4 linked regions of the Sus scrofa genome follow. The protein of the gene in region 2 binds, or shares a complex with, the protein of the main gene of each other region. Links are inferred from orthologs where the notes say so. Each region holds a gene or a part of one and is shown on either strand. Other genes may lie near its edges. The genes, in order: NUMA1, GPSM2, FRMPD4 and INSC.

Region 1 (5,139 bases), on a different chromosome or scaffold from region 2:
AGGGCCACCATCTGAGCCACGCTCGGAGCCGGTTCCGTGTACGCTCTACCGCATGGGGCCTTTGGGGACTACCCTGCCCTCGCTTTGGGGCTTGGTAGCGTGCTCTAGTGGCCTCAGGCTGGTCCACCCGCAAGTCTTGTTTTGTCCGCTGTTCACAAGGTGAGACCTTGCACAAGTTTCTTGCCCTCTTTCTCTCTAAGCACCTTTCCCTAAAATGGGAAAAAGCCTGGGCAGCTTCCTCGGTGTCCGTGGTAAGCCAGTGCATACGAGCACTTGATGCGCATTGCCCGCTGGTGCGCCTTCAGTGACTTCGCTGTGGTTATTTTTGCTGTGAAGAGCTCAGCTCTGCCGCTCACTAAGAACCACGTAGCCCTGGGGCAGGGCCCCTAACATCCGGCTTCAGATGCTTTCTCTGTAAAGAAGGGCTTGTAGTTGCTACCTCCCAAGTCCGATGGGTGGCTTAGGACGTCAGAGACGCAGCCAGCACGGGGCCTGGTCATTGTAGGCGCTTAGTGACCAGTGGGACAAAGGGGATGGGGTTGCTGTGGCCGTGCTGCCGTTGATGCTCAGATGGTCAGGATGTTTTGAAGCTGGTGGGGGTTTGGATACTCTGAGAGCCAGAGCGTGGCAGAGGAAGGGTGTACAGTGAGGAAATTTGAAATAAACTCGGCAGCCTTGGAGAAGAAGCAGCAGCAGGTCATCTGACTTAATCCTCCTCTGGCACCAGGACTGGGAAGTCGGGTCTCCCGTGGACCTAGATCCTTGCTTTCTGCCCGTTCCCCCGGGTGAGGGCCAGAGGTGGTCCTGGTAGCCAGGCGATAGGGTCCCAGATTCTATTGCTGTTCTTGGGGCTTGTGTGCTCGTCTGCCGCTTCTTGCACGTCTATTCACACGGGGGCTCTTGTTTACTCCCAGAAATGCCTCGAGGAGAAGAATGAAATCCTTCAGGGAAAACTCTCACAGCTGGAAGAACATTTGGCCCAGTTGCGGGAGAACCCACCCCGGGAGAAGGGTGAGGTGCTGGGCGACATCTTGCAGGTAGGGTGAGGGGGTCTGTGTGCTGGGGTGCACGTGGGGGTGTCTTTGTGCTGGGGTGCAGGCGGGGGCTCTGTGCTGGGGTGCATGTGGGGTGTCTTTGTGCTGGGGTGCAGGTGGGGGCTCTTTGTGCTGGGGTGCATGTGGGGGTGTCTTTGTGCTGGGGTGCAGGCGGGGGGCTGTGTGTGCTGAGGTGCATGTGGGGGCATCTTTGTGCTGGGGTGCAGGCGGGGGCTCTGCTGGGGTGCTGTGGAGCCATGTTCATCATGTTCAGGTTCCTGGACCATCTCAGTCCCCAGAGGGGCCAAGGGGACTGAGGAGTCATGCTGATGCCCACTTGTCTCTTTATCTCACCAGCTGGAAACTCTCAAGCAAGAGGCAGCCACTCTGGCTGCAGATAACACTCAGCTCCAGGCCAGGGTGGAGGCGCTGGAGACCGAGCGGAGCCAGCGGGAGGCCAAGCTACTTGCTGAGCGGAGCCACTTTGAGGAGGAGAAGCAGCAGCTGGCCGGCCTGATTGCCGAGCTCCAGGGCTCCCTGTCCAGCCTCAGCCGGGCCAAGGAGGAACTGGAGGAGGCGTCTCAGGCGCAGGGGGCCCGGCTGTCTGCCCAGGCGGCCGCGCTGACCTCTGAGCTCGAGGCCCTCAACGCTGCCCTCCAGCAGCGGGATCAGGAGCTGGCCAGCCTGAAGCAGCAGGCCCAGACAGAGCAGGCGCAGCTGGCACACTCCCTCCAGCAGCAGGAGCAGGCCTCGCAGGGCCTCCGCCAGCAGGTGGAGCAGCTGAGCAGCAGCCTGAAGCAGAAGGAGCGGCAGTGGGAGGAGGCTGCTAAGGAGCAGGAGGCCGCCCGGCGAGAGCACGCCCAACAACTGGCCGCCGTGGCCGAGGAGCGGGCCGCAGCCCGCCAGCAGCTGGAGGCGCTGGAGAAGGAGAAGGCTGCTGCGCTGGAGGTCCTGCAGCAGCAGCTTCAGGTTGCCAGTGAGGCCCGAGACGGCGCCCAGACCTCGGTGGCACAGGCCCAGCGGGAGAAGGCCGAGCTGAGCCAGAAGGTGGAGGAGCTCCACGCCTGCGTGGAGGCGGCCCGCCAGGAGCAGTGTGAGGCCCAGGCCCAGGTGGCGGAACTGAAGGCCCAGCTGAGGTCTGAGCAGCAGAAAGCGACTGAGAACGAGAAGATGGTCCAGGAGCAGGTCCGGGCCCTCGAGGAGTCCTTGAAGGTCGGCCAGGGCCGCCTGGAGGAGGAGACGCGCAGGGCCGCGGGCGCCCTGGAGGAGCAGCAGCGCTGTATCTGCAGGCTGGAGGCCGAGACCCGGAGCCTGGCCGAGCAGCGCAAGCAGGAACAGAAGGAGCTGGAAGAAGAGAAGGCTGGGCGCAAGGGGCTGGAGGCCCGATTGCAACAGCTCGGGGAGGCCCATCAGGCCAAGACAGAAGCCCTGCGGCAGGAGCTGGCCGAGGCCCTGGCCTCCCGGCGCGAGGCTGAGAGCGAGTGTGAGCAGCTCGCCAAGGAGGTGGCTACCTGGCGGGAGCGCTACGAGGACAGCCAGCAGGAGGAGGCGCAGTACGGCGCCATGGTCCAGGAACAGCTGCTGACTCTGAAGGAGGAGTGCGAGAAGGCCCGCCAGGAGCTGCAGGAGGCCAAGGAGAAGGTGGCAGGGATCGAGGCCCACAGCGAGCTCCAGATAAGCCGCCAGCAGAGCGAGCTCGCTCAGCTCCACGCCAGCCTGGCCAGGGCTCTGCAGCAGGTCCAGGAGAAGGAGGCCCGGGCCCAGAAGCTCGCAGACGACCTCTCCGCTCTGCAGGAGAAGATGGCGGCCACCAGCAAGGAGGTGGCCCGCCTGGAGGCCTTGGTGCGCAAGGCAGGCGAGCAGCAGGAGCCGGCCTCGCGGGAGCTGCTCCAGGAGCCGCCCAGGGCAGGGGACAGAGAGTCAGAGTGGCTGGAAGAGCAGAAGGGCCGCCCCTTCTGCAGCACGCAGGCGGCCCTGCAGGCCATGGAGCGAGAGGCAGAGCAGATGGGCAGCGAGCTGGAGAGGCTGCGGGCTGCGCTGATGGAGAGCCAGGGGCAGCAGCAGGAGGAGCGTGGGCAGCAGGAGAGGGAGGTGGCGCGGCTGACCCAGGAGCGGGGCCGGGCTCAGGCCGACCTTGCCCTGGAGAAGGCCGCCAAGGCGGAGCTTGAGATGCGGCTGCAGAACGCCCTCAATGAGCAGCGGGTGGAGTTTGCCGCCCTGCAGGAGGCACTGGCCCACGCCCTGAGGGAAAAGGAAGGCAAGGACCAGGAGCTGGCCCAGCTTCGCGAGCAGGAGGCGGCCCAGGGGGCAGCGCTGAAGGACCTTCGGCAAACCGTGGAGCACCTGAGGGAACAGCTGGCCGAGAAACAGGAGGCGCCCCCGCAGTGTCCAGGGACCGCCGGCCGAGAAAATGCTCCTGGGTTGGGAGCCCAGTCCGAGGCCACTGGAAAGACCGAGCAAAAAGGCCCTGAGCTGGAGGTCCTGCGGGCAGAGGTGGGCAGCCTGGAGCAGCAGGTCCGCGAGCATCAGGAGAAGGCCTCCAGCCTGGAGCGCAGCCTTGAGGCCGAGCGCGCCTCCCACGCCGAGCGGGCCAGCGCTCTGGAGACGCTGCGGGGCCAGTTGGAGCAGAAGGCCCAGGAGCTGGGGAGCACTCAGGACGCCTTAGCCTCAGCCCAGAGGGAGCTGGCCGCCCTCCGCGCCAAGGCCCAGGAGCACAGCACGGCCGAGGAGGAGTGGAAGGCCCAGGTCACGCGGGGCCAGCAGGAGGCCGAGCGGAAGAGCAGCCTCATCAGCAGCCTGGAGGAGGAGGTGTCCATCCTGAACCGCCAAGTGCTGGAGAAGGAGGGCGAGAGCAAGGAGTTGAAGCGGCTGGTTGCCGCTGAGTCGGAGAAGAGCCAGAAGCTTGAGGAGAGGCTGCGCCTGCTCCAGGCGGAGACAGCCAGCAGCAGCGCCAGGGCTGCGGAACGAAGCTCGGCTCTGCGGGAGGAGGTGCAGACCCTCCGGGAGGAGGCAGAGAAGCAGCGGGTGGCTTCCGAGAGCCTGCGGCAGGAGCTGGCCTCGCAGGCAGAGCGAGCGGAAGAGCTGGGGCAAGAGTTAAAGGCCTGGCAGGAGAAGTTCTTCCAGAAGGAGCAGGCCCTCTCCGCCCTGCAGCTCGAGCACACCAGCACGCAGGCCCTGCTGAGCGAGCTGCTGCCCGCCAAGCACCTGTGCCAGCAGCTGCAGGCCGAGCAGGCAGCCGCTGAGAAACGCCATCGGGAGGAGCTGGAGCAGAGCAAGCAGGCCGCCGGGGGGCTGCGGGCGGAGCTGATGCGGGCTCAGCGCGAGCTTGGGGAGCTGGTGCCCCTGCGGCAGAAGGTGGCAGAGCAGGAGCGAGCGGCCCAGCAGCTGCGGGCAGAGAAGGCCAGCTACGCGGAGCAGCTGAGCATGCTGAAGAAGGCTCACGGCCTGCTGGCGGAGGAGAACCGGGGGCTGGGCGAGCGGGCCAGCCTCGGCCGGCAGTTTCTGGAAGTGGAGCTGGACCAGGCCCGGGAGAAGTATGGTCAAGAGCTGGCCGCTGTGCGTGCTGACGCTGAGACCCGTCTGGCTGAGATGCAGCGCGAAGCGCAGAGCACTGCCCGGGAGCTGGAGGTGATGACTGCCAAGTACGAGGGTGCCAAGGTCAAGGTCCTGGAGGAGAGGCAGCGTTTCCAGGAGGAGAGGCAGAAACTCACTGCCCAGGTGAGGCCCCCGGCTCAGCTGCACCCGCAGAGAGCAGCGCGGAGAGGGGGAGTTGGTCCCTCTGCGCCCCTGGGCCTCCGGTGCTCTCGTTAGCGCGAGCGCCTCGTCCCCCCTCACCGGGGGAGAAGCCCGTGCCCTCCGTTGTCCTGCAGAATGTAGCCGTAGCTCCCCTTCCCGAGAGCTCTGCCCCTGCGGAGTCAGGATGTGAAGGAGGTGCAGGCCACCAGCCCATTGAGGCCACGAGGAGGCACCTGCACTGGAGGCCCCATGAGCCGCTGGGGGCTGGACTGAGCCACGATGACATTTCAGAAATTCCTAAGTTCTGGTTCCTTGGGGGAAAGATGAGAGCCTCGGTGAGGCCGGCCTGGCAGCAGGGCCGGTGCCTCTC
Region 2 (5,139 bases):
AACTCAGCCTTCTAAAGGATGATGGATTACCAATGGTGGTAGTAGATAAGGTAATTTTACTAGCTTTTTAATTTTATTAGTTACATTTTTATTTTAAGTACATTATAAAATAAACATAAGTATCACATCAAACTGACATTTCATGAATACTGCTTCAGATGAAGCTAGGTTTTTTTAATAGCATGTGCGAATTTAAAAGAATTCACCAAACTATAGAGACATTTAAATGAGTGATTATATAGTACATAGACATGGCAGAAATCATGAAAATGTTGAAGAAGCACAACAGCAACTTTGGCAAAGGATACCTACTACAGCTTAGGATTAGAAACCAAAGTATTGGTGCTTTTTCTCCTGGATATATTTATAGTAAAATAATTTTTCTGGCTCTTAAGGTTCAAACTTTGAGCACTATGAGAATTATAATTTCTGTAAATCTTCAAAGCATTGCTTTCTAACATGAAGTTTCTTGACACTTGGGGGTCTCAAAGAAGTGTGCCTTGTGCATCAGAATATTTTTTTCCTCTGTCTTTCTAAAATATAGGTGATCCTGTGGTGGTAAGAAGAGGAAGGTGTGTGTGTTGTATGTGTGTTATGTATGTGTGTGTGTTAAAAGACTGAGTGTGTGCGCATGTACAGACACAAGAGTCTGAGATAGAGATGTGTGGTAGGAGGGGTTGATGTACTGGTTGCATAGATCACCTGGATAGAGAAGAGTATTTATTAGTTATGGGACTTCACCTACCACAGGTCCCTATTCTCCCCAATTCTCAGGAGGTCGGTAAGTCTGCTATGACAAAGAATCATTTAGGAAACACTGCTTTAGGTTCTCTCATTGGTAAAGTAGGTTGCTCTGGTTGGGCCAATTAAAATGAGCTCTCTTGATGAAAAATTAATCAGTGGATCTAAGAAAGAAATGGAGAATTTTATTCAAGCCCAACCGAGTGTTCTAACCCAGGAACTGCTCTCAGAAAGCTCTGGGAATTGTTCTGACCACTTGAGGTCAAAGCACAGTTATAGAAGTTTTTGAAACAGAGGACCATCCATTAGGTGACATAAGAGTGACATCTGACACAATCCATCCCTACACATGCAGAGCAAATAGCACAGGATTAAGAAGGAAAGTTCTCTCCTAAGGAGTTGTGACCCTTGGTGACATTAAGAAGGAACGTTGTCTCCTAAGGAGGTCTGGTTAACTCAGATACCCAACATGCTAAAGGGGCGGAAGGAGGCCCTTTAAATTTTTCCTATCTTGCCATAAAATAAATTTTATTTCATTAGCTCCATATAGAGATATTTAGCTATCCTATACCAAAGACCTTTTTGGTTCAGAGGCATTTGACGATGCAAATTAGCTTTTGCTGTAAATAGTAGTTTTTATCAATAATATATATATACTTCAATTATAGAGGCAGCTATTCTAAGCAAGAGTAGCCATGGTTCACATTTAAATTATTTTCTGGAAGTTAAGAACACTGTGGTGCAGTTGCAATGTTGTAAATGTTTGTCTTATATAATTTTATAGAATGGAAGCTTCTTGCCTAGAACTGGCCTTGGAAGGGGAGCGTCTGTGCAAATCAGGAGACTGCCGTGCTGGTGTGTCATTCTTTGAAGCTGCAGTTCAAGTTGGAACTGAAGACCTAAAAACCCTTAGTGCTATTTACAGCCAGCTGGGCAATGCTTATTTCTATTTGCATGATTATGCCAAAGCATTAGAATACCATCATCATGATTTAACTCTTGCGAGGTAATTAATGTCAGCTTTTTCATACTCTTTCTCCCTAAATTAACTGTCACTTTAAAAGACACTTTCATTCAATTAAAAAAAAAAAAAAAAGCTAACAATGCATTTTGTGAGTTCTGATTCATTGGCATTGCATTGTAAAACTAATCTTTAGGCTGAACAGTTTAATTAAAAGCAGATCACTAGTGGTGAAATGACCCTAAAGTTTAATTAAATGAATGCAAATTAAATTTAAATATAGAAATGTAAGTTTAAAATTTTTGTTTAAAGTAGGTTTCAAGGCTAATGGGTCTCTCTTACTTTTAGCATGTCATTTGTTCTCTAGGGAAAACTGGATTCTGGCTGGTTAATATCTTCACACACTATCTTCTTTTCTTCTTTTCCCCAGGACTATTGGAGACCGGTTGGGGGAAGCCAAAGCTAGTGGCAATCTGGGAAACACCTTAAAGGTTCTTGGGAATTTTGATGAAGCGGTGGTTTGTTGTCAGCGACACTTAGATATTTCCAGAGAGCTAAATGACAAGGTAATGAGGCAGTATTAGATGGTAGGCCAGAAAGTTTCATTGAAATTGCTTTGCATTTCAGTCCCATTTAATCATTCTGTAGTTTATCTAAAAGTTAATGCCAGAAAGAAAGTATTTGTAGAAAAATGGAAGAAAAAGAGAGATGTAATAAAAATTTTTTGAGATGAGAAAAAGGAAATAGTGACAAGTCCTTCTTTCACAGGTCATATGGATGGCTAATGTAAACATTTCTTTCTCTTGACCGTCAAATCAAGGATATTATAAATAAATATATGTGATAAGCATTATAATTCCTGGCCTCTGGGTTCAAAATGTAAACTACTCATATCTTCATCTAGGTAGGAGAAGCAAGAGCACTTTACAATCTTGGAAATGTGTATCATGCCAAAGGGAAAAGCTTTGGCTGCCCTGGTCCTCAGGACGTAGGAGACTTTCCAGAAGAAGTCAGAAACGCTCTGCAGGCAGCAGTGGATTATTATGAGTGAGTAGCACTGATGCAGCCATGTGGCCCACCCAAGCCAGTAGTTAAGTTTTTAAGTCTGGCAAGGGCTGTAAAGTATGGACTAGCAAGTAAACCATCAAAATGTTTTCAAAATGTTACAATGTTATATTAGTAGCAAACCCCTTCTTCTGCAGGAAAACTTTAAACTGCAGACCAGCGCCACTTAGTGGTACAAATGAGAAATATCACTGGTTAGTCTCAGTTATTTAAGACTAAGTTTCATCTTTTATCTATACAATTTCGTAAGACTTCTTAGCTATAGGGGTCTAATGACATTAACACTGTCCTGGACTCTGGGCAGAAACCTACACATACGCACATATATTTTCTTTCTTTTTCTTTTTTTCTTTTTTTGTCTTTTTAGGGCTGCATCTGCAACATATGGAGATTCCCAGGCTAGGGGTCTAATTGGAGCTGTAGCCGCCAGCCTACGCTAGAGCCACAGCAATGTCAGATCCAAGCTGCATCTGCGATCTATGCCACAGCTCACAACAATGCCGGATCCTTAACACTCTGAGCGAGGTCAGGGATCGAACCTGTGTTTTCATGGATGCTAGTTAGATTTGTTTTTGCTGAGCCATGATGGGAATTCCACAATTATTCCACTTTAGTAACTGAATTTAGTTCCAGAAAGACTTCTGACCATTTACAGATGAACTCTACCCAAAGAATAAAGGAGCAACAGAAATTGACATAACATTGTAAATCAGCTGTATCTTTAAAACATGGTACATTATGGCTGTACGCTTATTTAAATTTTTTTTCCTGATACAAACTGTTAGATTTGGGAGTTCCTGCTGTGGCACAGTGGGTTCATGATCCAGCTTGTCTCTGTGGGTTAAGGATCCGGTGTTGTTGCACCTGTGATGTAGATTTTGGCAACCTGACTTGGGAACTTCCACATGCTGCAGATGCAGCCAAAGCAGGAAAAACAAAAGTTTTATATTTGTAAGTAAGATCAATCAATGTTTTTCTCAAATGTATTTTTTCTCACTTTTTGTTATCATGTAGGGAAAACCTATCACTGGTGACTGCTTTGGGTGACCGAGCAGCCCAAGGACGTGCCTTTGGAAATCTTGGAAACACACATTACCTCCTTGGCAACTTCCGGGATGCAGTCATAGCTCATGAGCAGGTACAGTGCAGGGCTTTGGAGCCAGGTCATTTTCTCCATCAGAATTTTGAACCATGATTAGATTATTCTTTAGTTTTTTGTGTATTTTTTTAATAGTTATATCTAATTAAAATTTTCTGTTTCAGCGTCTCCTTATTGCAAAAGAATTTGGAGATAAAGCAGCTGAAAGAAGAGCCTATAGCAACCTTGGAAATGCATATATATTTCTTGGTGAATTTGAAACTGCCTCTGAATACTACAAGTTAGTCAAACATTTCTGTAGATAAATGTAAAATGACTAGTTATGCAATCCACCCGGTAAATCATAGGCTTTAGATTTAAAGCCTTTTTGCTGCATATGAGCAGCAGGACCTTGGGCTTTCTGAGTCCTGATTTTCTCAGCTGTAACAGAAGATACCCATACTTCACTTTGGGGATTGTTGTGAGGGTTGGATGAAAGAATATATTAAGCACTTATTTAGCACAGTACCTGGTACACGGTGCTTAGTACATATTGCTGTACCTAAGATTTAATAGCAGCAGTATGGCCTCTTTACGTTTTAATTAATTTTTATCTTTAATTGTTTTAAAATGAGATTCTAAACTTTTAAAGTTTTATGAACTTGTTTAGCATATGTGGTGTGTATATTTATATCCAACCCCCCTCCAATTATAGTTTGGGTAAGAAAGTTTCCACCAGTGATCACTGAATTTTCCCCATCATCCTACCATCATATCGAGTTCTTCTGCCACCTTCTCTGCCCATGTTTGCTCCTTGCAACAAGCTGAGTTAGCACTCCCAGCTTCTTGGCAGGCAGGGTCTTTCTAACCTGTCAGTAGGTGGGAAAAGTACATGATAGCCAAGTTGAGACTGCTTCATATTGCCTGCTCTATGCTTTCTAGGTTGTTCAGTTTTCCCTAATTACCAGGAATTGAAGGCTTTTACAGACCTTAGACAAAAGCCAGTTTGACTGAACCAAAGACACAGTGACTGATTTATATTTTGTGGTTTAAAAAAATCCAATGTGAGAGAGTTCTGAAAAGTTTATCATCTAAACAAAGGTAAAATTGCTTTAGGTCCGTCTAACTAGAATGTCATCCCATCCTTCAACTAATGGTTGATACTCGTTGGTTGGCTAGTTAGATGTGAAGTATCCTTTTTTTTTATTTTTTTTTTTTTTTTTTTTTTTTTTATTTATTTTTTTTTTTTTTTTTTTTTTTGTTTTCTTATTTCTTCCGTCCACGTATGAGTTCC
Region 3 (5,792 bases), on a different chromosome or scaffold from region 2:
TATTGTAGGGAATGGCTCTGGATCCTGGAGGGTGGTGTTTTGGGCACCCTCTCTGAGACCTCCTCCTGCATCCATGTGGTTTTCAATACTGCCAGGAATGTTCACTGCTTGACCCAGCTGAAACTGGACAAGATCCTCAAAAGGATTTTTTTTTTAAAGTAGCTGTATGGTTAGCAGCTGGCCAAATTGAAAGCTGATATTCAGCGCCTGACAGGCACTTTTTAAAGGCCTTCTGCACTAAGCACTATGCGCCGAAAGGGAAAGAAAAATATTCTGAAGCCATGGTGGAAGGGTTTACTAAAGTGTTCTGAAGACACAGAGTTCAAAATCCAGAACATAGGAATCTCTTGATTCCCATCTTAGTAGAAGATTTTCCCCCTAATGTAAAGATGCAAATCGAGGAAAAAGTAGTTGGATGGCTGGGTCAAAGTCTAGATGCCATGCGGATTGCAACACAACTGTACTTGTCTTAGAGATTGTGTTTTTACAAGAACGGAAATGCAGCTCTAGAAACAATTCAAAGCCTGCCTGGCCTTTTTAACCAATCCCCAGTCTCTCCTACTCACATCAAAAGGCTTGCAGATGCTTTAAAAAAAAAAAAAAAAAAAAAAATAGGTGGATTTGGAAAGTAAAAACCCTTCTTGGAGAAATGTGAGATATAAATGTTCTACCTGGTCTCTAGGAACCCAGAACCAAGTCATGGTATGCAAATTTGAGGCAGATAATTCTTATCAGGAGGAGGGGGAGGGGAGGAGAGGGAGGAGAGAGAGAGGAGGAGGAGGAGGGGAAGGATAAACCGCTCTTTGGAACTGAGGTGAATGAAAAATCTTAAAGGTTTTCCCCACAAATATCAATACAAGCTTTAGCCATCTGAGCAGGTAACCTTAACTTATTCTATCTGCCAGAAATACAATTTGTATCCAACCATGCTTCTATAAACTAGTAGGCTTTGCATCACTGTATCTATCTCATGGCTAAAAATTTGAAAGAAAAGCTCTAAGATCTCTGCATCTGTCTGTCTTTTTATGTATGTATGTGACAGATGTGGGATATTTTTCTACCTCTGGATGGCACAGCTAAAATTAATTTGTAAGGAGCTCTATTTAATAGGCTTAAAAACAAAACAAATTATATACATCAAGTATATGCTCAGAAATATAAAAACCAGCACTAGTGTTTTTCAAGTTCATGTGATCTAGGACAATCTGTGATAAATTAAAGCTCATTTAAGTTTGTTGGTTTCATTAAAACAGGCATGTCTTTAGCGTTATTACCATTAACTAGAATACTTTTATCCTCCCTAGGTTAACCAAAGTCAAATAAGGTCATATAATCTCTGTTACATAATTTGTCAGCAGGAAAGGTAACTTAAGATGACAGCTGGCTATTCAATGTCTCATGAAATTTTCATGAGTAATCTAAACATAATTGTTAAGAACAAGCCAATTAAAGAAGTATTAGTAAGATAAAAGTTTGTAAATGTACTTTTCAGCAATAATCTTGCTTTATGGCATGTCTTCTTAAAAACAGTTTCCATAGTTACTGTGGAGGTATGGAGGTTCCTTTAAAAACTAAAAACAGAGTTATCACGTGGTCAGCAATCCCACTCCTGGGCATCTAGACAAAGAAAACTCTTAATTCAAAAAGATACATGTTACCTTTTAAAATTGCACTCACAAAATCAAATACCTCAAAAAGATACATGCACCCCCAAGGTTCAAAGCAGCACTACTTACAATAGCCAAGAGGTGGAAACAACCGAAATGTCCATTGACAGATGAATGGATAAAGAGAAATGTCCATTGACAGATGAATGGATAAAGATGTGGTACATATCTACAATGAAATACTACCCAGCCATATAAAAGAACAAAATAATGCCATTTGCAACAACATGGATGCAACTAGAGATAATCATACAAAGTGAAGTAAGTCAGACAAAAACAAGTATCATATGATATCATTTATATGTGGAATATAAAAAATGATATAAATGAACTTATTTACAAAATAGAAACAGACTCATATATAGAAAACAAACTTAAGGTTACCAAAGGGGAAAGGGGTGGGGAAGGAATAAATTAGGAGTTTGGGATTAACAGGCACACACGACTATACATAAAATAGATAAACAACAAGGTCTGACTGGCACAGGGAACTATATTCAGTATCTTGTAATAACGAAAAATGGAAAAGAATCCAAAAAAGAATATATAGCATATATATGTATATACATATATAATATCTATATACATATCTATAATATCTATATACATATCTATATCTCTATATAAAACTGAGTCACTTGCTATACTCCAGAAACTAACACAACATTGTAAACCAACTATACTTGAATGGAAAGGAAAAGAGGAAAAAATAGTTTCCAAAATCTTTTTGGCAACTGAAAATTTTAAAGTTATACTGAGATTAGTTAAATGATGGCTATTCAATGAATATCTAGATCATTTCCAAGTAAGTTAAAATAGTGAAACGTTAATTACTGAGTATAGGTTTATCCACTTTGGGCTTTCTTTTACAGAGGAACTAAAGCTATTGGATTCTTTCAGTAAACATGTTTGTGCCACAATGAAAAATTACTAAGAGGAAGAATATACTTCTGGAAATTGTGAAACATATTTATAAATTTGCCAATCCACAGAAGGCTAGTGTAACAGTCCACGCTGCTTACTTCTTAGTTTTCACTAGGAATAAAGGATTCCAAGGATTAAGAATTCTAATAAACATATGTGATGTAGTTAAAACTACTTGGAACTAATGGAGGTGAGAGGAAACAACTGTGACCCTGTAAACTGAACCGGGTCCCAAATTCTTCTGGTTTCCTCAAACATCTGGCTACGACTCTCCAAACTCGTGCTTCCAGTTTTCCCCCACCCTTCTGATGAGGCATCCCTGAAAACAACGGCTGCCCTTGAACCTCCTCGGAAGGGGTGATACCACGTCCTTCTCACTACCCAGATGGCAGCCAGATTTTAGGGGACTGAACCTAGGTACGCATTCCCCATTTACAGAGGGCTTCCCCAGACCCCTGGAACTACCCACACACCAGCTGGAGATGTGACATTCAAAGTGACTAGGGAGGGTCCTCCCCGGAAGAGATGGCATCTTGAGGGGGACAGCTCAAGATCTTCATCTCCGGGATGAGATCGCCTCTTCACCTCGGGATTCCTTGTGCCTTCCCGCTACTGGCTTTTTCTCTCTGTCACTGCGTGGGGAGGCAATGCTCCTTAACGCTGACAGTGATCGCTGCTAATGTCATAGCTACACAGCGGAAGTCCCTGGACTTTCTTGCTAAGGAGGCTGAGACAACAGAATTGCTTTTGATTACTTGTTGGCTGAACAAGGAGGACTCTGTGCCATAGCTAATACCCCCTGCAGTACCTGGATCAACACCTCTCATACCGTAGCAAATAGAGGAAATCAACAAACGAGCCGCTTGGCTAAAACAGGTTGATGGCCCTTCAGGTGCATTCTTTGATTTATCTGACACTAACTGGTTTGATCCACGGGGCCCCGGTGAAGGAGTGTACTTTACTCTCTTGGTACCATCCTCCTAAGAGTCATCACGGTCGACCCCCTGGTGTGCTACGTTCTCTCAAGGTCTCAAATGCATGTTCACGGCCATCAGCAGTGCATCAGATGGTCTCACTGAGCTTAGAGAAACAGAAACAAGATAAAACACGAGGTGAGTAGCAAAAATAATTCTTATGCAGATCAGACATCATAACCTACAAGTTTCACAATGAGACAAGAACAACTTAACTCTATTGGCAACTGAAAGTGGCACTAATACTAATTTTTTGGTCAGTATCTCACCTATGAGAAGATGATCAAAAAGGGGGAATTGTTGAATTAATTAAACAAAGAGGCCATTAGACTGAGGTGACTCTAATGCCTTGGCAACCGAGGTAAGCAAACCAAAATCTAAGCCTAAGGCTCTTAAGTTCCTCAAGGGTATGAAATTAAAATGCTAAGGAGAACCAATCACAAACAGCCAACTAGGCTCTAAGCAACAGCCAATAAATACTTTCTTTTCTCTGCGTCCCCTTTTCACTCTATAAAAGAGCTCCTGTTGGCGGAGTACTCCTAATCATTTCCAGGTTGGCACTGCCCTATTCCAGTTGATTTTTGCTCAAATAAACTCTTTAAAAATTTTAATATGCCTCAGTTTATCTTTTAACAATCCTAATAATATCTCTTCACCTATTTGTCTCTTTTTTCTCAGGAGTGCTGTAAAGTCAAAACTTTGCATATAACTTTACAGTCGGCCCTCCATGTCCACAGTTCCTTGTCTGTAGAATCAACCAAGTGCAGATCATGCAGCACTGTAGTATGCATTTACTGGGGAAAATCCAGTATAAGAAAGACCCACATAATTCAAACCCCTATTATTCAAGGGTCAACTGTATATCCACAATTAATACCAAGAAATAAAATCATTAAACGTCTTTAAGTTGTTTGAGAGTCCCATGGCAGAGATTTAACTGTGACTAGAGAATCTTGTAAATTTTTCAATTAAAAAAAAAAACCAGCAGTGAAAGATTAATCTGTTTTCATGCCCAAGAATAACCAGGAATTTGAGCTTTACAGAAAGCCCTTAAAGCTTATCCCAGCTCACCTGCAGCAATGAAGAAAACATCTATTCCTAAGTTTCTTGAGGAAAAACCCAACTGACATCTAAAACTTTTATCTCTTTGGTGAGTTCATTTATCATCAGGTTTCAAGAACCTCATAAGATGCTTCCAAGACAGAAACATTTCTCCAAGACAATTCATCTCTTTTAAATATCATTAAAGTGTGACTGGCACAGAATCTTAAGGAGCTGACATCCAGAGGGAGAAGAACATATTACTAATGGCTACTCAGGTGCCAACTTACTCTAAGTTGCCAACTCTCTTTCCCAGGAAAACCAAGTATATCTAAGCAAAAGGAATTTTGATGATAATCAGGAGACATTCTCTGGCATCAAAAAAAGCTGCCTGGCAAGAGATGACTCAGGATTGCAAATGTCACCTGAGTCATAGAATGGCTTCAACTATGCAGTCCAGATACACCCTAAACAAAGGTGAACATCAGGCCAAGATCCCATAGAAAATTATCCACCAAGAAGTTCTTCTCCTTACAACCAGACTGCAAAAGATAAGTAACCCAAGAAATGGTAACCATGTGTGATCATTTGCTTAGAACAGACAGTCAAGAAACATGGCAGAAAACAATAAAGAGAAAGAGAAAACAATAAATTGAGAGATTATTCTTTTGAAAACACATGCCTAGTGTTGTAGGCATGTATGTGTTCTTAATTTTACTTTGTCCTGAGGAGAATCCCTGTTGCATTTAATTGCCAATTTCACTTATTTAAGTCAATAATAATTCTTGGAGAGACAAAAGACCTGTACTCTGAAAACCTTAAGATGTGGCTGAAAGAAATCAAAGATGACACAAACAGATGGAAAGATACACCATGATCTTGGATTGGAAGAATCAATATTGTCAAAATGACTACATTACCCAAGGCAATCTACAGATGCAATGAAATCCCTATCAAATTACTGATGGCATTTTTCACAGAACAAGAACAAAAAATGTTTCAATTTGTATGGAAACACAAAAGACCTCAAATAGCCAATCCTCAGAAAAGAAAAAAAGAGGAATCAGACACCCTGACTTCAGACTATACAATAAAAGCTATGGTCATCAAAATAGTATGGTACTGGTACAAAATTGGAAATATAGATCAATAGAACAGGATATAAAGCCCAAAAATAAATCCATGC
Region 4 (5,656 bases), on a different chromosome or scaffold from region 2:
CTTCTGATCAGATATCTCCATCCCGGAGCTGAGAGCCTGTCTGGTCATCAGCTATTTTTGTGCAGGTGCCTCATCTTGATAACCTTCTCTGAGCAGGTGGGGAACAGCGTGGAAGATGCTGTCTTGTACTTGAGATCAACTGAGGCAGAGGAACCATCACAGAGCCTAAGGGAGACTGACCTACAGATGGAGGTTGGGGAAGGAGGTACAAACTACCAACAGGATGGAAATTCTCCCTTTAGGCGCCTTTCAGAAGAAACCATTTGCACTCTGAGTTAGGGTGAGCTTTTTGTTTTGAGCTGGAATGACCTCTGATTTTCTCTTATTCCACAAAGCAGTGGTTCTCAGAGCAAGAGTCCTAGGCCAGCACCATCCTTATCTCCTGGAACCTCTTGGACATGCAAATTCTTAGGCTCAGGGTGTCTCCCCCTCTTAGAGCCACTGCCTAACCACAGGACTCCGGAGGCAATTGTAGGAGTTAAGTCTGGAAAAACTCCTTTCTAATGCAAATGCCTTCAAGGCTGCCATGCTGAGCTGTCCTTGGGTCACAGAATGGAGGGGCTTGTGACAGCAGGAACAGTTGGGGAATTCTGGGATGGGGATGGGGTGGGAAACCGTGAGAGACAATAGAGATCGCCCTGGCTATAGTAGGCCTTCCTGGGCATTCTCTACTGGGGCTGCTGGGGAGGAAGCTGAGGGCCAGCACGGCCCCTGCTGGGAGATGTCCAGCTTAGCCTAGAGACTTCCAGCAGTAGATTAATTCCCGGAGTGCTAAATCCTTCTGTTCTCTTCTTTTGCCGGCCTATTCCCCCAGTGCCCAGGGCTCTGTCTTTTATCAGGGCCCTGACCCGTCATGGGTCCATGCCCTCCCTCCACAGTCTTGCCACCTCTTGGCAGTGTGGCTCCAGCTCCCTCTGGCAATCCATGCTCTGTTCTGCCAAGGCCCGGGCTCATGTGCCATGACATGTCCTGCGGGTCCTGTGCAGCCTCATCTGGGCCTCGGGGCTAGGAGCTCTCCTCGGCCAGCCCCTGACGGTGCCCAGAGTCTTTGAACCTGCATCATTCATGATCCCTTCCAAAGAGCATCTGAGACTTCTTCCAGTGACCATGTGGGCTATGCTGGGCAAACTGGATTTGGAGCTGAGGCTGGCTGACTGTAAACCTGAAATCTGCCCTCCAGTTAGATCTAGTGTGTCCTTCCTGAAGTAACCTGTGAAGTCAGTGGAGCGGGAATGGGCCATTTGAGAGGGAAGAAGAACATAGGGTTAGGCTAGAGGGGACCTTTGCCTGACGCAGATCTGGACCATTCCTGTGGCTTCTAGTTTGGTAGGGGAAACTTTCTGTGGTTGTGCCCCTCCATGCATGTGTTTCTTTATCTGTGTGTCTCCCTGTTCCCCCATGAGAGCTCCCATGCATATCTGTGTAGGACCTCCCTTCATCTCGCAAGCTGAGGCCACAGGTGGTGATTTAAACCATCTGGCCTCCACTTTCCTTGTCTGTATAATGGGAGTAGGAATAACTTCCACCACAAGTTACTATGGTGGCAAAATGACAATGCAAAATGCCCCTGAGTGTGGTTTCTGTGCTCGTGTGTTAGGCTATTAATACTAGTTGCCTAATGCGAGTTGCTTCACCTCCCTGTGCCTCAGTTTGCTCGCATGCAAATTAGGGCTAAGAGCTAAGTCGTCCTCGAACCCAGTGGCATCTTGAGGATTTGGGAAGTTGATACCTACGAAAAGCTTTGCATGATGCAATAAATGCCAGTGATTATAGTGCGTATTATCTTTCTGTGTCTGTCTCTGGGTGAGCCTCTCTGAGTTTGTGAAGGACAGGGCACGTGTGTCTGCTGCGTGCGTACTCATGTATGTGAACATGAGTGTGTCTGTGTTTATAGGGCCAGGCAGGCCTCCTGTCTCTGGGTGGAGTCTGCTGTTGGCCCAAGCCTGGACTCTCTGAGCCAGCCAGGGCCGGTGCTGGGGATGGAATTTCCATTAAGAATTAAGCAGGACAGTGCTGGGAAGCCAGGCAGGCAGAGGGGAGGGGGTCGAGGGGGAGGATGCTCCACCTCTGAGCTCCCTCCACAGCCTCAGCTCTGAGCTGCCTTGGAGAAGGTCTCTTCCACCTTTGCCTGGGATCGCAGGCCTTGCTGGGGCCATGGCCCAGGATGGGCAAGGAGATAGGAGTTGCCTGCAGGGGCTTCTGTAAGGAGACTTGGATTTGCTGCAGCCATGAGGAGGCCCCCTGGGAATGGAGAGATGGCCAGCAAGGGTATAAGCGGCTGGGGCCTATGGGGCCGACAAGAGCCCAGGAGGCTGTGCTGTACTGTATGTATCTGGGAACATGGATGGGTATGTGTGTGCACGTGGGCGTGTGTACATGCATGAGTGTGTGAGTGTATTCATGAATGCAGGGAGGAGGACATCCATACCAAGTGTCCTAAGGGACCATCTAGCAAACCAAGTCTGTTCCTGTCTTGTCCTGAAACTCAGGCACCGAATTTGGACCTGGAAATGAAAGATCCTTGAGGCTTTTTTGCTAATACTGACTGTACTTATGATCTAAGCCTCATTCTATCTCAATCATACTGAAAAATACACCTTTCCAGAAACCTTTATATTCCCAGTCTCATGTTATTCTTTCAGTAATGTATTAGCTAGGCCGAGGTTATTATGATCCCCACTGAAAAACTGAGCCTCAGAGAAATTAAGTGACTTGTCCAAGGTCACACAGCTAGAAAGTAGTAGTGGCACAGAGTTCCCATTGTAGCGCAGTGGAAACAAATCCGACTAGGAACCATGAGGTTGTAGGTTCGATTCCTGAACTTGCTCAATGGGTTAAGGATCCCGTGTTAACGTGAGCTGTGGTGGAGGTCGCAGACACGGCTCGGATCTGCCATTGCTGTGGTGCTGGTGCAGGTGCCTGTAGCTAATTCTAGCTCTAATTTGACCCCTAGCCTGGAAACTGCTGTATGCCACGGGTGTTGTCCTAAAAAGCAAAAAAAAAAAAAAAAAAAAAAAAAAAAAAGCAAAGAGGCAGGATACAAAGTCAGTTTTCTTTGAGGAAAATGTCCAGGCTATACAGATGTTTTTTTTTTAAACACTACCTGTCTTACCAGAAATAGACTTGAAGATTCTGGAAACTTTACCTATTTGAGGAAGGCTATAGCTTCAGTGTTAATGCCCAGCCAGGTAGGTGCTGGGGGCCCAAACTGTGTTTCCAGGCCCTGAGACAGTCTTTGCTGAGGTAGAAACTGAAGCCCCTCTCAAGAGTCTAGGGAGCAGATGAATGGATGGAGGCTGCAGTCAAGCTGGCTTGTCTGAAGGGAATGCCTTGGGCTCCTATAGAACCTGAGGTCCCCGGAAAGCTGAAGCAGTTTTGTTTGTTTGTTTGTTTGTTTTTGTCTTTTTAGGGCTGTACCGGAGGCATATGGATGTTCCCAGACTAGGGGTAGAATCTGAGCTGTAGCTGCCAGCCTATGCCACAGCCACAGCAACTCGGGATCCGAGCCACATCTGCAACCTATATCACAGCTCATGGCAATGCTGAATCCTTAACCCACTGAGCGAGGCCATGGATTGAACTTGTGCCCTCATGGATGCTAGTCAGATTTGTTTTTGCTGAGCCATGATGGGAATGCCTGAGGCAGTTGATTTAATGTCAGGAATTGCAATGTGTCCAGGGCCAGGAAGCAGGCATCCTTTTTAGCCAAGGCCTGAAAAAGGGAACAAGGACTTTATCATCAAGGAAGAGAGGCTGAGATGGGACTTTGGAGTGGTCATTGTGTCTTGGAGATGCAGCTGGTTTTCCTGTCCTGCAACACAATGTGCAAGAATATTGCACAGGAGGAGTTTGCACAGGAGGGATTTAGGTTAGACGCCAAGGAGAACTTCCTGCTGATGAACTGATTCAAGATTGGGGACAGTGCCCAAGGGAGGCTAAGGTCTGCTCTTCCTTGGAGATCCCCAAGAGTGGGTAGAGGCCCTCCAGGCCCCCTGCGGAATTCATGGCAGGGTGGAGGGAATTGGATGGAATGACCTTGCAGCCTCCTTCTAGCTCAAGAATGCAACATTCCTGAGCTTTTGGGTAGGAATCAGACTTCCTCTCTAGACTTGGCCATCTGATACAAAGAAGTCCAGAGGGAAAGTTTGATGTGCCTCAAGTTAGAAGGAGTCCCTACAAGCATCTTCTGTCCTTTTTGTCAGGTAGGCCGTCTTATGTGAGCAGCTCGGGTTCCAAAGGAAAGCACCTGCGGTGAATAAATCAAGCGGAATTCAGGAGTTTGGGGGGCGGCTCAAAGTTCAGAGGCTTCCCCCGCAGGGCTTGTGAACTGCACCCAAACCCCTCCTTGTTTTGTTTCAGCTCCAAGGGAAAGGATCGGCGCATTCCCTTCCCTCTCCAGATGTTGGCATGTGGGGCACATGTGGGCACCCCCGCCAGGACGGCTCCGAGGCTCCTAGTGAGCCAGGTCTCTAATTAGACCTGACCGCGTCCCCATTCCAGCGCTCCCCACAGCCAAGAGCGCGAGGTCTCCGCTGCCAGGGGCACCAAAATAGCTTCGCGGCCGGCTGAGACTCCAGGCATTGGTGGCTGACGCGGGACAGAGGCTTGGCCCGGAGCGCGCTGTTGCTGGCGGGCGGGGGCAGAGCGGGGCGGAGGCGCGGGGCAGCGGGCGGCCCTCGGGCTGGGCCGGCCGGGCGGGTCACTTGCTTACAGCCTCTGGCGCCCCAGCTGCGCCTGCCACCGCCGGCCTGGCCGCTGCACGCAGCTGCTCGCAGGCTCTCTCGCTCCGTCAGAGTAAGTAGGCGCGCTCCTGGACTGCATTCTGGGCCCAGCCTAGTCTGGGACAGAGCATGCTTGGGGACTATTCGGATTTAGGTGTAAGTGTGTCAGTGTGAGTGCTTGTGAGTGGGGGTGAACTTTAGTGGGAGGGAGTGTGTCTGGGCCAGTACCTGAGCATATGGAAGTTTCTAGCATATGTCCCAGAGAGTGAATATGGGTGAGAGTGTGTCAGTGTGTGTCTGGTGGACTTAGTGTAGGGGGGCCTGGAGTGTGCCCCCAGGTGGCATGTGTGTCAGGGTGGCACACGCTGTCCGTGTGGGCTGTGTCTGTATTCTTGGAAGTGCAGACTCAGGTGTGTGTGGTAGGCAGGCTCCACCAGGGCTGAGCAAGTGTGTATCAATGGCTGGATGCATGTGACTGAGCTGATGAAGGCAGAAGTTGGCGGGTAAGGAATGTTATCTGAACGCAAACTTTCTAGGGTGACCTGACTTGTCCCCAACTGGGGTGTCTTCTCTGTGGGTCATGTGGCTTTGGTTTCTCAGGACTCTGAGCAGGGCAGGAGCTCAGAGTCAACCCTAGAGTGAGTGGGGTTCTGAGCAAGCCCTGCTGGCTGGCCAGGGTCAGGGAGACAGCACAGAGATGGCCCCTTTGTCATGCCAGGAGGGGGCAGGAGGACAAGGGGATGAGCAGACTGCAAAGCCATGCCCACCCACAAACACTCAACCGGGGGGCCCACACCCACATGCTCACAGCTGCTCATGTGTGCACACCTTCCACCCTCTCAGGCCACTCCCACTCATGCTGTCTCAGGACAGCTGTGCAAACACTCATGCACTTTCAGCACGTACACCTGAGGACAGTGACACATGTGCAACAG

The links.
Region 1: the proteins of GPSM2 (region 2) and NUMA1 are in contact, whole or in part, in a crystal structure (PDB 6HC2), measured with the Homo sapiens proteins. The link is inferred for Sus scrofa from reciprocal best matches to the Homo sapiens genes GPSM2 and NUMA1. Residues at the interface, in NP_001307967.1 of Homo sapiens: Ala28, Leu29, Glu32, Cys35, Lys36, Phe47, Lys59, Thr60, Ser62, Ala63, Ile64, Ser66, Gln67, Asn70, Ala71, Phe73, Asn110, Lys113, Tyr146, His153, Lys157, Pro164, Gln165, Arg203, Gly206, Asn207, Asn210, Tyr213, Leu214, Arg228; in NP_006176.2 of Homo sapiens: Ser1901, Phe1902, Tyr1903, Met1904, Gly1905, Thr1906, Cys1907, Gln1908, Asp1909, Glu1910, Pro1911, Glu1912, Leu1914, Asp1916, Trp1917, Asn1918, Arg1919, Ile1920, Ala1921, Leu1923.
Region 3: the proteins of GPSM2 (region 2) and FRMPD4 are in contact, whole or in part, in a crystal structure (PDB 4WND), measured with the Homo sapiens proteins. The link is inferred for Sus scrofa from reciprocal best matches to the Homo sapiens genes GPSM2 and FRMPD4. Residues at the interface, in NP_001307967.1 of Homo sapiens: Leu25, Ala28, Leu29, Glu32, Asp57, Lys59, Thr60, Ser62, Ala63, Ile64, Ser66, Gln67, Asn70, Phe73, Tyr74, His85, Asp88, Ala92, Gly100, Lys103, Asn107, Asn110, Thr111, Lys113, His128, Arg143, Tyr146, Asn147, Asn150, His153; in NP_055543.2 of Homo sapiens: Gln988, Leu989, Leu990, His991, Ser992, His994, Met995, Glu996, Met997, Glu998, Pro999, Glu1000, Thr1001, Met1002, Glu1003, Thr1004, Lys1005, Ser1006, Val1007, Thr1008, Asp1009, Tyr1010, Phe1011, Ser1012.
Region 4: the proteins of GPSM2 (region 2) and INSC are in contact, whole or in part, in a crystal structure (PDB 3RO3), measured with the Mus musculus proteins. The link is inferred for Sus scrofa from reciprocal best matches to the Homo sapiens genes GPSM2 and INSC. Residues at the interface, in NP_083798.2 of Mus musculus: Asn210, Tyr213, Leu214, Phe218, Arg242, Ser246, Asn247, Asn250, Ile253, Phe254, Tyr265, Gln283, Tyr286, Ser287, Asn290, Thr291, Thr293, Leu294, Arg323, Trp326, Ser327, Asn330; in XP_006507722.1 of Mus musculus: Val72, Asp73, Ser74, Val75, Arg77, Trp78, Met79, Asp81, Leu82, Lys83, Leu84, Met85, Thr86, Glu87.

What each region holds. Positions count from the first base shown.
Region 1 is NC_010451.4:6,599,557-6,604,695, reverse strand, and holds part of NUMA1 (nuclear mitotic apparatus protein 1), read left to right. Parts: intron 1-914; coding exon 915-1,037; intron 1,038-1,391; coding exon 1,392-4,751; intron 4,752-5,139. UniProt on the Homo sapiens protein: Microtubule (MT)-binding protein that plays a role in the formation and maintenance of the spindle poles and the alignement and the segregation of chromosomes during mitotic cell division.
Region 2 is NC_010446.5:111,137,711-111,142,849, reverse strand, and holds part of GPSM2 (G-protein-signaling modulator 2), read left to right. Parts: intron 1-1,525; coding exon 1,526-1,747; intron 1,748-2,132; coding exon 2,133-2,268; intron 2,269-2,606; coding exon 2,607-2,749; intron 2,750-3,781; coding exon 3,782-3,905; intron 3,906-4,030; coding exon 4,031-4,146; intron 4,147-5,139. UniProt on the Homo sapiens protein: Plays an important role in mitotic spindle pole organization via its interaction with NUMA1. Required for cortical dynein-dynactin complex recruitment during metaphase. Plays a role in metaphase spindle orientation.
Region 3 is NC_010461.5:8,622,964-8,628,755, reverse strand, and holds the start of FRMPD4 (FERM and PDZ domain-containing protein 4), read right to left. Parts: upstream 3,718-5,792; 5' UTR 3,513-3,717; exon of another isoform or gene 3,400-3,512; intron 1-3,399. UniProt on the Homo sapiens protein: Positive regulator of dendritic spine morphogenesis and density. Required for the maintenance of excitatory synaptic transmission. Binds phosphatidylinositol 4,5-bisphosphate.
Region 4 is NC_010444.4:44,011,746-44,017,401, reverse strand, and holds the start of INSC (protein inscuteable homolog), read left to right. Parts: upstream 1-2,135; 5' UTR 2,136-2,228; coding exon 2,229-2,324; intron 2,325-4,604; exon of another isoform or gene 4,605-4,794; intron 4,795-5,656. UniProt on the Homo sapiens protein: May function as an adapter linking the Par3 complex to the GPSM1/GPSM2 complex. Involved in spindle orientation during mitosis. May regulate cell proliferation and differentiation in the developing nervous system.